3 linked regions of the Callithrix jacchus genome follow. The protein of the gene in region 3 binds, or shares a complex with, the protein of the main gene of each other region. Links are inferred from orthologs where the notes say so. Each region holds a gene or a part of one and is shown on either strand. Other genes may lie near its edges. The genes, in order: ERCC3, POLR2D and GTF2F1.

Region 1 (3,612 bases), on a different chromosome or scaffold from region 3:
GGGTAGGTTTAACTTACAGTTCCCTGATGGCTAATAAGGTTGAATACTTTTTCAGGTGCTTCTTTGACATAAGTAATGCCTTTTTTGGTGAAATGTCTGTCAATTTCTTTTGCCTATTTTTTTACCTTTTTGCCATTGCCTAAATATCTAACAGGAAACTCAAATTCATATATCTAAAGCGCTACTTCTGATAGTCACCTTCCAGACCAGCTCCTTTGACAATGTCCCCCATCTCTGATAGCACTGCCCACTCTATCTTCCCTTTGTTTGAGCCAAAAACCTTAGTGTCATTCCTGATTTCTCTCTCTGATCCCCCCATTTGACCTGTGAGTTAAAAGCTTCACTACAAATCCAGAGTTGGATCATACTTTCATCCTTACTGGTTCACACTTCTTATTGGAATTCTACAAACCCACTTCACTGCTTCCATCTTGCTTCCCTCAGTCTATTCCCGGCACAGCAGCCAGGGTGGTATTTTTAGAGTGTAAAGTCAGCTCACATCACCCTCTGCTCAAACCCCTTAGATGTCTTCACACTAAGAGTACAACACCAAAGTTCTTGCTGTCGCCTACAAGGTCCTACAAGATCTGCCCCAATACCTCTATCCTTCCTCAGCCTTGACTACTGTTTCTATGTTCTTTCTCCTCTGGCAGCATGGCCATCTTGTGCTGTCTCTCTGTGCCAAGTACTTTCCCACAGCAGAACCCATACCCTGCAACACCCATCAGAAAGACCTCCAATCCCTCCCTGGCCAGCTGTGAACATCTCTAGGTATCTCCTGAAACTCATCAGTGCACAGAAAGAGCCAGATGCGGGGGCCATTTTGACAACATTTTGAACACTACCTGGGAAATGCCTCAGATTTCATTTTGTTCATAGAAACGTCTATTCCAGACTTCTTAATTTACCCTAATCGTTCTTCTTTTTTTTTTTGGAGATAGGGTCTCACACTCCGTCACCCATGCTAGAGTGCAGTTGCACAATCATGGTTCACTGCAGCCTCAACCTCCCAGGTTCAAGTGATCCTCCCACCTCAGCTTCCTGAGCAGCAGGGACCACAGGTGCACGCCACCACATTTGGCTAATTAAAAAAACTTTTTTGTAGAGACATGTGTCACTATGTGACCCAGGCTGATCTTAATCTCCTGCGCTCAAGCAATTCTCCTGCCTTCACCTCCCAAAGCGCTAGAGGACTACAGGTGTCAGCCACCATGCACAGCACTAACCTGTTAATCAAAATCCCTTAATCTGTTTTTATCAAAAAAGATTCACCCAAAAAACTATGCAGTTATAAAAGAAACAAATTACTGATAAATGCTAAGGCACATATGAACCATTATGTGAAGTAAAAGAAGCCAGACATAAGAAAATAAATTTTCCATAAATCTATAGTGACAGAAAGCAGTTCAGTGGCCGCCTGAACCAGACAAAGAAACAAAGACTGACTGCAAATGAGTATAAAGGAAGTCTAAAACTGGATCATGGTGGCTGGATGCAGTGGCTCACATCTGTAATCCCAGTACTTTGGGAGACCCAGGCGGGCAGATCACATGAGGCTGGAGTACAAGACCAGCCTGGCCAAGATGGCAAAACCCCGTCTCTACTAAAAATACAGAAATTTGGCCAGGCGTGGTGGCTCACACCTGTAATCCCAGCACTTTGGGAGGCTGAGGCGGGTGGATCATCTGAAGTCAGGAGTTCGATACCAGCCTGACCAAAATGGAGAAACCCTGTCTCTACTAAAAATACAAAATTAGCATGGTGGCGCATGCCTGTAATCCCAGCTACTCGGGAGGCTAAGACAGGAGAATCGCTTGAACCCGGGAGGCAGAGGTTGCAGTGAGCCAAGACCATGTCATTGCAGCCTGGGCAACAAAAGCGAAACTCCGCCTCAAAAAAAAAAAAATACAAAATTAGCCAGCTACTCGGGAGGCTGAGGTAGGGGAATCACTTGAACCAAAGAGGCAGAGGTTGCCGTGAGCCAAGATCACACCACGGCACTCCAGCCTGGGCAACAGAGTGAGATGCCATCGCAGGAAAAAAAAAAAAACTTGGATCATGGTAATGGCTGCACACTGCTCCACAAATTTACTACAACGCACTGGATTACATATTTGCAAGGTGTGATTTTATGGTATATAAATTAAATCAATACAGCAGCTTTAAAAAAGGTTTGCCCGTAATACTCGAAGAAGCAGGGCTTCTTTTACATACTGACTAAGAATCAACATTTCAGGCTTCAAAGAAAACACATCACCACCGCTGCGGAAGGGTTTTTCAGTGCTCCTAATCCAGTTTTTAGAGGGCCATTAAAAAACTGATTAAGCTGAGCAGCAAAAGAAAGATGGAGGAAAGAAAGTTTCATTTTCTATATGACTACTGAGCCAGTGATTAAGAAAGCTGTAAATGTGAACACTCCTGCCTGCATCCCACCCAAACTTAAGCATTATTAAAAAGCTTTACCCAACACTTCTTTTTAGCCAGTTGGGTGGGCTACACAGCAGTCCCTCTCCCAAACTAACAAATGGAAATTGGTCTGTCTGTTCAACAAGCGGACAGCTCAACTCCAGACGGCTTACCTGGTATAGTGTGCACTTCGTCCAGGATCATGAGGCCCCACTCCTGGGTCTTGAGCCACTCCATGACTCGCTCGGCCTCCCAGGACCTTTTGGTGGTGTGGCCCAGCATGGAGTAGGTGCTAATGGCAACGGAGCAGCCAATGGGCTTGTCCTTGGCGTCGGAGGTGAACCGGCAGATCTGGCTGTCGTCAATGGTGGACCACATCTTGAACTGGGCTTTCCACTGCTCCACAGAAACAGCTGAGTTGCCCAGCACCAAACAGCGTTTTCTGACAGTGCATGCAGCAGTCACACCAACCAGGGACTTTCCAGCACCTACAAGAAACAACATTAAGTTCCCACCCAAGGATAGGCTGAAATGAAGGACAGGAACAGGCAGAGTGACTCTTAAGTACAGCAATCTAGGACAATGTCTTGTAATAGTTTGCAGAGCTGACATCTGTGTGACACACATGGCTCCAGCCTGTTTTCTTCTTTATAATGAGAAGACACGCCCACCTCACACACATGTGAGAATTAGCAGGTGCTGGGGCCTACTGCAGCACTTCACATGTATCTCATTTAAATGTTAAAATCTCAAACCAGTGAGAAGAGAAATGCCTACTACTGCCATTTTAAAGACAGAAAAACCAGGCTGGGTGTGGTGGCTCACACCTGTAATCACGGCACTTTGGGAGGCCAAGGTGGGTGGATCACTTGAGGTCAGGAGTTTAAGACCAGCCTGGCCAACATGGTGAAACCCACCTTTACTAAAAATACAAAAAATTAGATGGGCATGGTGGCAGGCACCTATAATCACAGGTATTCAGGAGACTACTTGAACTCAGGAGGCGGAGGTTGTAGTGAGCCGAGATGGTGCCACAGCACACTCCAGCCTGGACGACAGAGCAAGACTTTGTCTTGAAAAGAAAAAAGAAACACTAAAGCCGAGGAGTACCTTACCTTGCCCACAGCCAAAGGACAGTAACGCCACTGGGGTACAGCATGCCTAGCCCACAGGAGAAGGGACTTGGCAAAAGTCCACTATCATTAT
Region 2 (4,218 bases), on a different chromosome or scaffold from region 3:
ATTCTAAGCATACAGGGGTCCCACAGTTGGCCCTGCAGAACTCGCATACAAAAAGCCTGCCTGCCCTCTGTATCCTCAGTTTCACAGCCTGATCCAAGTTTGGTTGGAAAAAGCCCTGCGTATAAGTGGACCGTGCAGTTCAAGCCTGTGTTGTTCACAGTCAACTGTATCCAATTCAGCAAAATTTTCATGTGTACCAGACACTACCTGATTTCATCAAAAATTATATGCAGAGTGTAATAAACTCACTAAGCAAAAAGTACCTACACAAAACCCAAGTACAAAAAAATCTGTGTATCATCAAATTAAGAAAAGCATCTTTTTAGTTATCCCTTAAAAAAGAAACTATTATTTCTATCATGCCAAAAACTTTCATAAATCTACCTATGGAAACATATGACCCTCATTCCATAAATAAAAAACTGAAAGGAGGCTGGGCACCACCAGTCCCAGCTATTGGGAGGCTGCGGAAGAACTGCTTAAGCCCAGGAGTCTGAGGCTGTGCTATTACTGAGCCTGTGAATAACCACTGCAGTCCAACCTGGGAAACACAGTGAGACCCTGTCTCTTAAAAAAAAAAACAGAAAACCGGCCCGGCGCGGTGGCTCGCGCCTATAATGCCAGCACTTTGGGAGGCCGAGGCGGGTGGATCACGAGGTCAAGAGATCGAGACCATCCTGGTCAACATGGTGAAACCCCATCTCTACTAAAAATTACAAAAAATTGGCTGGGCACGGTGGCGCGTGCCTGTAGTCCCAGCTACTCGGGAGGCTGAGGCAGAATTGCCTGAACCCAGGGGGCGGAGGTTGCGGTGAGCCGAGATTGCGCCATTGCACTCCAGCCTGGGTAACAAGAGCGAAACTCCGTCTCAAAAAAAAAGAGACCGAGACCATGCTGGTCAACAAGGTGAAACCCCGTCTCTACTAAAAATACAAAAATTAGCTGGGCATGGTGGCGCGTGCCTGTAATCCCAGCTACTCGGGAGGGTGAGGCAGGAGAATTGCTTGAACCCAGAAGGCGGAGGTTGCGGTAAGCCGAGATCGTGCCATTGCACTCCAGTCTGGGTAACAACAGCGAAACTCGGTCTCAAAAAAAAAACAAAAAACAAAAAATCAAAAAAACCCAGAAAACCCTCCAAACACTGGAAGTAACTTCTATCTCTAACAACAAAAAAACAGCATTAAGGTACAATCAATAAGTACTACCTAGCCCATTAAAAGAGTAAGAGGGTGCGCGCAGTAGGTCACACCTGTACTCCCAGCACTTTAGGAGGCCAAGGTGGGCGGATCACGAGGTCAGGAGTTCAAGATCAGCCTGGCCAACATGGTGAAATCCCATCTCTATTAAAAATACAAAAATTAGCAGGGCTTGGGCGCACCTGAAATCCCAGCTACTCCAGAGGCTAAGGAAGGAGATATGCTTGAACTCAGGAGGTGGAGGTTGCAGTGAACCGAGATCGCACCATTGCACTCCAGCCTGGTCAACAGAGCGAGACTGTCTCCAAAAAAAAAAAGAGTAAGTTAGGGCCGGGCGTGGTGGCTCAAGCCTGTAATCCCAGCACTTTGGGAGGCCTAGACGGGTGGGATCACGAGGTCGAGAGATCGAGATCCTGGTCAACATGGTGAAACCCCGTCTCTACTAAATACAAAAAATTAGCTGGGCATGATAGTGCATGCCTGTAATCCCAGCTACTCCGGAGGCTGAGGCAGGAGAATTGCCTGAACCCAGGAAGCGGAGCTTGCGGTGAGCCGAGATCGCGCCATTGCACTCCAGCCTGGGTAACAAGAGCGAAACTCCGTCTCGGGTGGGGGAAAAATAAAAAAAGAATAAGATAGGTCAGGTGCTGTGGCTCACTTGAGCTCAGGAGTTTGAGACCAGCCTGGGAAACATAGTGAGACCTTGCCTTTACAAAAAAAAAAAAAATTTAATGAGCCAGGTATGGGGGCATGTACCTGTGGTCCTAGCTACTTGGGAGGCTGAGGTGAGAGGATCGCTTGAGCCAGAGAGGTTGAGGCTGCAGTGAGCTCTGATCTTGCCACTACATTACAGCCTAGACAACAGGGCGAGACCCTATCTCAAACAATCAATAAAGAGTAAGATAGCTGTATACAATATACTGTAAAGTTCTTGAGCTGAAGACCTCATCCCTAAGAATAGCCTCCCCTTGATCACCATAAACCGCTTAAAGTGCGTGCCTGAGAAAACTGAAGGCTACCAAAATAATTTTTTGTTCTACCCAACAGCTGAAGACAGCCCTGTCTCTCCGTCTCAGGGGGAAGGTAGGGGCCTAACTTCGATAGGTGCGCCAGTAAACAAACCACTGTGGGTTCACACGGACCAAGCCTCGTCTTCCCGGTTTTTTAAATATCTCACTTCCCTGACTCCCCTGAGCCCCCGCTCACCACAACCTATTCCCTAATTCTCCCTTAAAACGCCCAGAGGTTTTGTACTAATCGAAGCTGAGTTCGCTTCACGCTGGACTCTTTTCCATAGCGCAACAGTTAGTTTAAAATCTGACCTTACCACCTGAGTGTCCGGCTTTATTTATCTTTAACACAACCCGCCGGAACTTCGCAGTCTGCTATCACATAAAATAACCCACTTGGCCAGGCGGCCCCTCCCGGTTCCATGTTTCCTCCCCAGCACTACAACGCGCCAGGGTTTGCCTGAGCCGCCGCTGAGGCCAGGCCTCGGGCGAAGCGTGGCTAACGCCAGGCCTGCGGGGACCACGCAAAGTGGCGCGGGAGAGTCTGGCAGCCCGAGCCCAACCTTTAGGAAAGATGAGCTGTGAGGCGTCCTCCTCTACGTCGCCAGCCCGCGGATCGCTGCCGCCAGCCGCCATCACCGCACGGCCCGCCACCACCCACGCTGCCGGAAGCGGAAGCGCGGAGAACGGCAGCAGAAGGGGCGTGGCCTCAGGCGGGGCACCGAGGGGTGGGCGGGGCGCCGAGGGTGGGCCTGGCCCGGCGCGACTAGAGGACGGGTTGGTGAGGTCTGGGAAACTCCTAGCCGCCGAGGGGTACCCTGCGCGGGATTGGGGTCCGCCGCACTCTCTCTCTCTCTTCTCCAATGCGCCTCACCGCGCGGACGTCCTGGGGCAGCCCCTAAGCCTTTCTGGGCAGAGAGGGTCAGATGAGATGCAGGAACGCCTGCTGATGGAAAGCAGGATTGGCGCCTCAGAACGCGCCCGGTCCAATTTCCTTTACTGACTTAAACTTTTAAAACTGTATTGATTTCTGGGGGATATTTGATACTTCTGAGCATGCGGACAATGATATTCGAAGGCTTTAACCACACGTCTGTTGGAACATTTGGATGATGCGTAGAAAATTAAGCAAATGACGGCTGAGCGCGGTGGCTCACGCCTGTTATCGCAGCACTTTGGGAGGGCGAGGCGGGCGGATCACCTGAGGTCAGGAGTTTGAGACCAGCCTGGCCAACGGGGTGAAACCCCATCTCTACTACAAATACAAAAATTAGGCGGGCGTGGTGGTGGGCGCCTGTGATCCCAGCTACTCGGGAGGCTGAAGCAAGAAAATCGCTTGAACCCGGGAGGTGGAGGTTGCGACACTGCACTCCAGTTTGGGCGAGTGAGCGAAACTCTGTCTCAAAAAAAAAAAAGAAAAAGCAAATGAAAAGTGATGCTGTTTTCAACACTGGAGAAAGGGCAAAAGGCTGTACAATAAAGGAAATAATCATAGCTTATTAGTCAACAATCTCGGCTCATTAGTCAACAATGTTTATTTAGATGGTCATATTGTAAACTCTGTTGATTTAATAAAAAATGAATTGGGCTGGGCACGGTGGCTCAGGCCCGTAATTCCAGCACTTTGGGAGGCCGAGCCTGGAGGATGGCTTGAGCTCCAGAGTTCAAGACCTGCCTGGATAACACGGTGAGACCTCACCTCTAAAAACTATAGAAATCGGCTCGGCGCGGTGGCTCATACCTGTAATCCTAGCACTTGGGGAGGCTGAGGCGGGTGGATCACGAGGTCAGGAGTTCGAGACCAGCCTGGCCAATATGGCGAAACCCCACCTCTACCAAAAATTCAAATATTAGCCCGGTGTGGTGTCACGCACCTGTAGTCCCAGCTACTGGGGAGGGTGAAGCAGAATCGCTTGAACCCAGAAGGCAGAGGTTGCAGTGAGCCAAGATCACTCCACTTCACTCCAGCCTGGGCGACAGAGCAAGACTCCATCTCAAAAAAAAAAAAAAAA
Region 3 (4,194 bases):
TCTCAAAAAAATAAAGAAAGAAAATAAAGCGACCGGGCGCGGTGGCTCAAGCCTGTAATCCCAGCACTTTGGGAGGCCGAGGCGGGTGGATCACGAGGTCAAGAGATTGAGACCATCCTGGTCAACATGGTGAAACCCCGTCTCTACTAAAAATGCAAAAAATTAGCTGGGCACGGTGGCACGTGCCTGTAATCCCAGCTACTCATGAGGCTGAGGCAGGAGAATTGCCTGAACCCAGGAGGCGGAGGTTGCGGTGAGCCGAGATCGCGCTGCACTCCAGCCTGGGTAACAAGAGCAAAACTCCGTCTCAAAAAAAAAAAGAAAAAAAGAAAGAAAGAAAATAAAAAGGTCAGGCACAGTGGCTCACACCTGTAATCCCAGCACTTTCAGAGGCCAAGGTGGGTGGATCACCTGAGGTCAGGAGTTCGAGACCAGTCTGACCAACATGGTGTAACCCCATCTCTACCAAAAATACAAAAATTAGGTGGGAGTGGGGGTGGGCACCTGTAATCCCAGCTACATGAGAGACTAAGGCAAGAGAATGGCTTGAACCTGGGAGTTGAAGGTTGCAGTGAGCTGAGGTCGTGCCATTGCACTCCATCCTGGGCAACAAAAGTGAAACACCATCACAAAAAAATAAATTTAAATAAATAAAAAGAAATTCATTGTGCCAAACTTGTTGACAGTAAGACACCAAAATCTCTAAAATGTAACCATTAATCATGACCTATGTGGCCAATAAGGTCCCAATTACCCTTAAGCTCTTGCTTCAAGGTCCATATGTACCATTTCCAAAACACTCTAGAATCCAGCCACATCTCATCACCTTCACGGCCTCCACATCCCCAGGCCAGGACTCACCTAGACCAGTCAGCCCAGTTGCTTCCACCCTGTTCTCCCTTTATCCGCCCTCAAACCCACAGTTTGCCTCCCCACAGCAGCCAGATCACAATACAACTTCCCCGTGGAGGATGCTTTAATGGCTCCCACAGTCCTTTCTAGAGCCTCTGATGGCAGGGGCTCTGGGGAAGGCCCTAGCCCAGTCCCCTCCCTCAGCCAGATAAACCTTGGCAAAAATGGCCATCAGTGGGCACAACTTCTAAATGTTCTCCATTAAGGAATGGCCTCCTGTGGTCCTACTAAACGTAACTTACAGGGACACCCAGGAGCTTGGCCTGGGCCTTTGCCATCTTTTTTTTTTTTTTTTTTTTTTTTTGAGACAGGTCTTACTCTGTCACCAGGCTGGAGTGCAGTAGTGTAATCATAGCTCACTGCAGCCTTCAACTCCTGGGGTCAAGTGATCCTCCTACCTCAGCCTCCTGTGCAGGACTACAGATGCACACTACCACATCCAGCTAATTATTTTATTTTTGGTAGAGATAGGGTCTTGCTATATTGCCCAGGCTGGTCTTGAACTCCTGGCCTTAGGCAAGCCTCCTGCCTTGGCCTCCCAAGTGCTAAGATTACAGGTACAAACTACTGCACCCAACTCTTTGTCATCTACCTTATCTCCACTTGGGAAAAGTGAGAAAATTAAGACTTAGTTACTATGACAGCTAAGCAACTATTACAACCACCAAGGTCAGGGTCAGGTTCTCTCACCACCCCAGCCCCCGACCCCCAGGACCCAGGGACTTACCTGATTCCACGTGGCAAAGTTGACTTTATCAGCTGCATTAAAAGCCATGATGTTATATTTTTTGGTTGTATTCCTAGAGTGGATTAGAAGAGATAGAGCCAATCCAATACATCAATTCAATTCAATCATTAATTTAATCAATCAATGTGAACACATCATTAATTCAATCAAATCATTAATTCGATCGTTCCATTCAACTGAACCATTAATTCAAGCATTCCATTCCACTGAATCATTAATTCAGTCACTCAACAAACCCACCCTGGTTCATTCAGTCTGTTTTGCCTGTCAACACTGGATACGGAAGACTGCAGGAATCCCAGTCTGCCAGAGAAGCTAGACCCCATCCCCTCTTAACTGCGTGCAGACGAAGAACAAATGGAGGAACAAAGATTGGGAGAAACCCAAGATGTGGAGATTATTGGGAACTCAGCCTTGGGGAGGAGGGAGGTCAGTCAGGGAGTGCTTCCTGGAGGAAGATGATACTGGAGCTGAGTTTTGCAGAATCAACAAGAATTCACCCAACAGAGTCACCGTTTGGGGGCTGAGGGGAGGCACTCATGGCAGAGGGAACGGGATGTACAAAGGCCTGGAAAGGAAAGGCAGCCTGCTCGCTTTGAAAGAGGACGAGACAGCCTGGGCATCATATGCTCTCGAACGTTAGGCCAGGAGGCTGAATCGTGCTGTGTATTAATGCACTCATTCATACAAAAAGCAGTGTTTGCCTCCAGAGAAGCCTCAGCTTAATCGCAGCCCTGCCCTCCAAGTCCCCCGGTCTGGAGGGAGAACCACAGACAGGGCCAGAAACGTCAGGCTAAGAGGACCGTAAAGGTTTTCACTTTTGCGGGGTGGAGAGGAGTGGGAGATGGGGTAGGGGATTTACTTCGGAACTCGAACGACGTATTCAGTGACATTCTGGCTGCTGGGGCCCTGCGGAAAGAGGAAGCGGACGGTGAGTAAGGTGCCGCCGAGGTCGCCGCCGGGACCCCCGAACCCCGCCAAATCCACACTCACTAGGGCCGCCATGGGCAATGGTCAGTGGTTCCGTGGTCCGACCCGGGTTCCTTTCTTCTCCTCTGGCTAGCGCGTCCCTCGATCTCGGGGAAGCCGCCGTTCCTTGTCGGGTCTCTGTTCCGGTCCCCGTGTGAGGATTCCTACCCTAGGCGCCTCTGGCACTGGGAAAGGGTAACCGGAAGAGGCGTTCAGGTTATTCCGTCTACGCCTCCGCGGCCGCCTAACCCGGAAGCTAAACCCTCCAGCGGCCGCGTCGCGATGGCAACCTTCTAAGCGGCTGTGGCTACCTCAATGCGCCGTCACTTATGTTCCTCGGCGTCTATGGCCACCTCAAAAGAGCCACCCCTGCCCCTTTTCAGACGCAACAAGGCCGAGTCTGAGATCAAATAACCGGCCTTGGTCGCTGATGCTCCTATGTACAGTGCGGTCATCAAATGTGGGACCGCCCTCCTTCGTGACGTCAGCACCCAAGGACCGCAGGGCATCCTGGGTGGGAAGAAGGAAGCTAGTCCTCCTTGCGGGCTCCCAGGCGCTTTGCGCATGCGTCATGCCGCTCGGGACTTTGGGGCTTGGAAGGCCGCGTCACCATAGCAACTGAGGCCTACTCGGGTCCAGTCGAACTGCCGCTTGGCTCCCTATGGGCCTGTTTGGGGTTCGTTTCCTCTACCTGCCCAGAAGGGGTGGACCCCGTCATTCCCGCAAAATGACCGGAGCGGGGACCCTTGTGACGTTGAGCCGAGCCAGGAGGGGTCAGAGCCTGCCCGGAATCGGGGCGCGACCACCCCAAGGGCTGCTGGCGGGATGGGTCTCTGCAAGTCCAAGCTGCCCCAAATGGGCAGGGCTCTGAGGCCCCCGGAGAAGAGTAACGTCGTGGGGGTGGCTGGCTGGCTTACTGGGGGGAAGGGAAGGAGGCTGCAGAGGACGGGAGGGAGGTGCAAGTTCCCCTACCCCATTCCAGGCGTGCACACACCCCTCAAGCCTGGCAGTAACACAATTGCGCATGCTCACAGCACAACCATTCATTGCTCTAGTTCGGAAATACTCAAGCACGCTGCTGGGTTCCGGGCTCCGCCAGGTGAATATATCAAACCAGCTCTCTGTCCTCTGCGGGTTACAGTGTCGTGGCGGAGACTCATAAAATGGGAATCTACAACCCAGGAAGGAGCAGGAGAAGCACAGCGGGGCTCTGAGGGCTCAGAGAAGACGGGAGGTTTCAGTTGGCCACTGAGGGATGCATAGGAGTTGTAGGCTACGCAGAGGGAAGGGGAACAAGACATGTCTGGTTTCATTTATTCCTCATCCACTAAATGTCAAGAACTGCCAACTCCTCGGAATGTAGGAGTGAGAGAGGCAGAAGTAGTCTGGGGTGTAAACTTTTTAATTCCTGTAGTGGGTTAGTGTAGGGGGTAGACCCCATAAGTTCTGGGGAGTCAGAAGCCTCAGAAATGTCATTAATTTATATTCCCGGCCGGGCGCGTGGCTCACGCCTGTAATCCCAGCACTTTGGGAGGCCGAGGCGGGTGGATCACGAGGTCAAGAGA

The links.
Region 1: GTF2F1 (region 3) and ERCC3 share a complex: the UniProt entries of both Homo sapiens proteins name them as parts of the TBP-based Pol II pre-initiation complex. The link is inferred for Callithrix jacchus from reciprocal best matches to the Homo sapiens genes GTF2F1 and ERCC3.
Region 2: GTF2F1 (region 3) and POLR2D share a complex: the UniProt entries of both Homo sapiens proteins name them as parts of the TBP-based Pol II pre-initiation complex. The link is inferred for Callithrix jacchus from reciprocal best matches to the Homo sapiens genes GTF2F1 and POLR2D.

The regions. Positions count from the first base shown.
Region 1 is NC_133507.1:37,190,286-37,193,897, reverse strand, and holds part of ERCC3 (general transcription and DNA repair factor IIH helicase/translocase subunit XPB), read right to left. Parts: intron 2,895-3,612; coding exon 2,580-2,894; intron 1-2,579. UniProt on the Homo sapiens protein: ATP-dependent 3'-5' DNA helicase/translocase. Binds dsDNA rather than ssDNA, unzipping it in a translocase rather than classical helicase activity. Component of the general transcription and DNA repair factor IIH (TFIIH) core complex.
Region 2 is NC_133507.1:36,558,660-36,562,877, reverse strand, and holds the start of POLR2D (DNA-directed RNA polymerase II subunit RPB4), read right to left. Parts: upstream 2,866-4,218; 5' UTR 2,843-2,865; coding exon 2,770-2,842; intron 1-2,769. UniProt on the Homo sapiens protein: Core component of RNA polymerase II (Pol II), a DNA-dependent RNA polymerase which synthesizes mRNA precursors and many functional non-coding RNAs using the four ribonucleoside triphosphates as substrates.
Region 3 is NC_133523.1:6,031,184-6,035,377, forward strand, and holds the start of GTF2F1 (general transcription factor IIF subunit 1), read right to left. Parts: upstream 2,820-4,194; 5' UTR 2,666-2,819; coding exon 2,654-2,665; intron 2,570-2,653; coding exon 2,523-2,569; intron 1,713-2,522; coding exon 1,640-1,712; intron 1-1,639. UniProt on the Homo sapiens protein: TFIIF is a general transcription initiation factor that binds to RNA polymerase II and helps to recruit it to the initiation complex in collaboration with TFIIB. It promotes transcription elongation.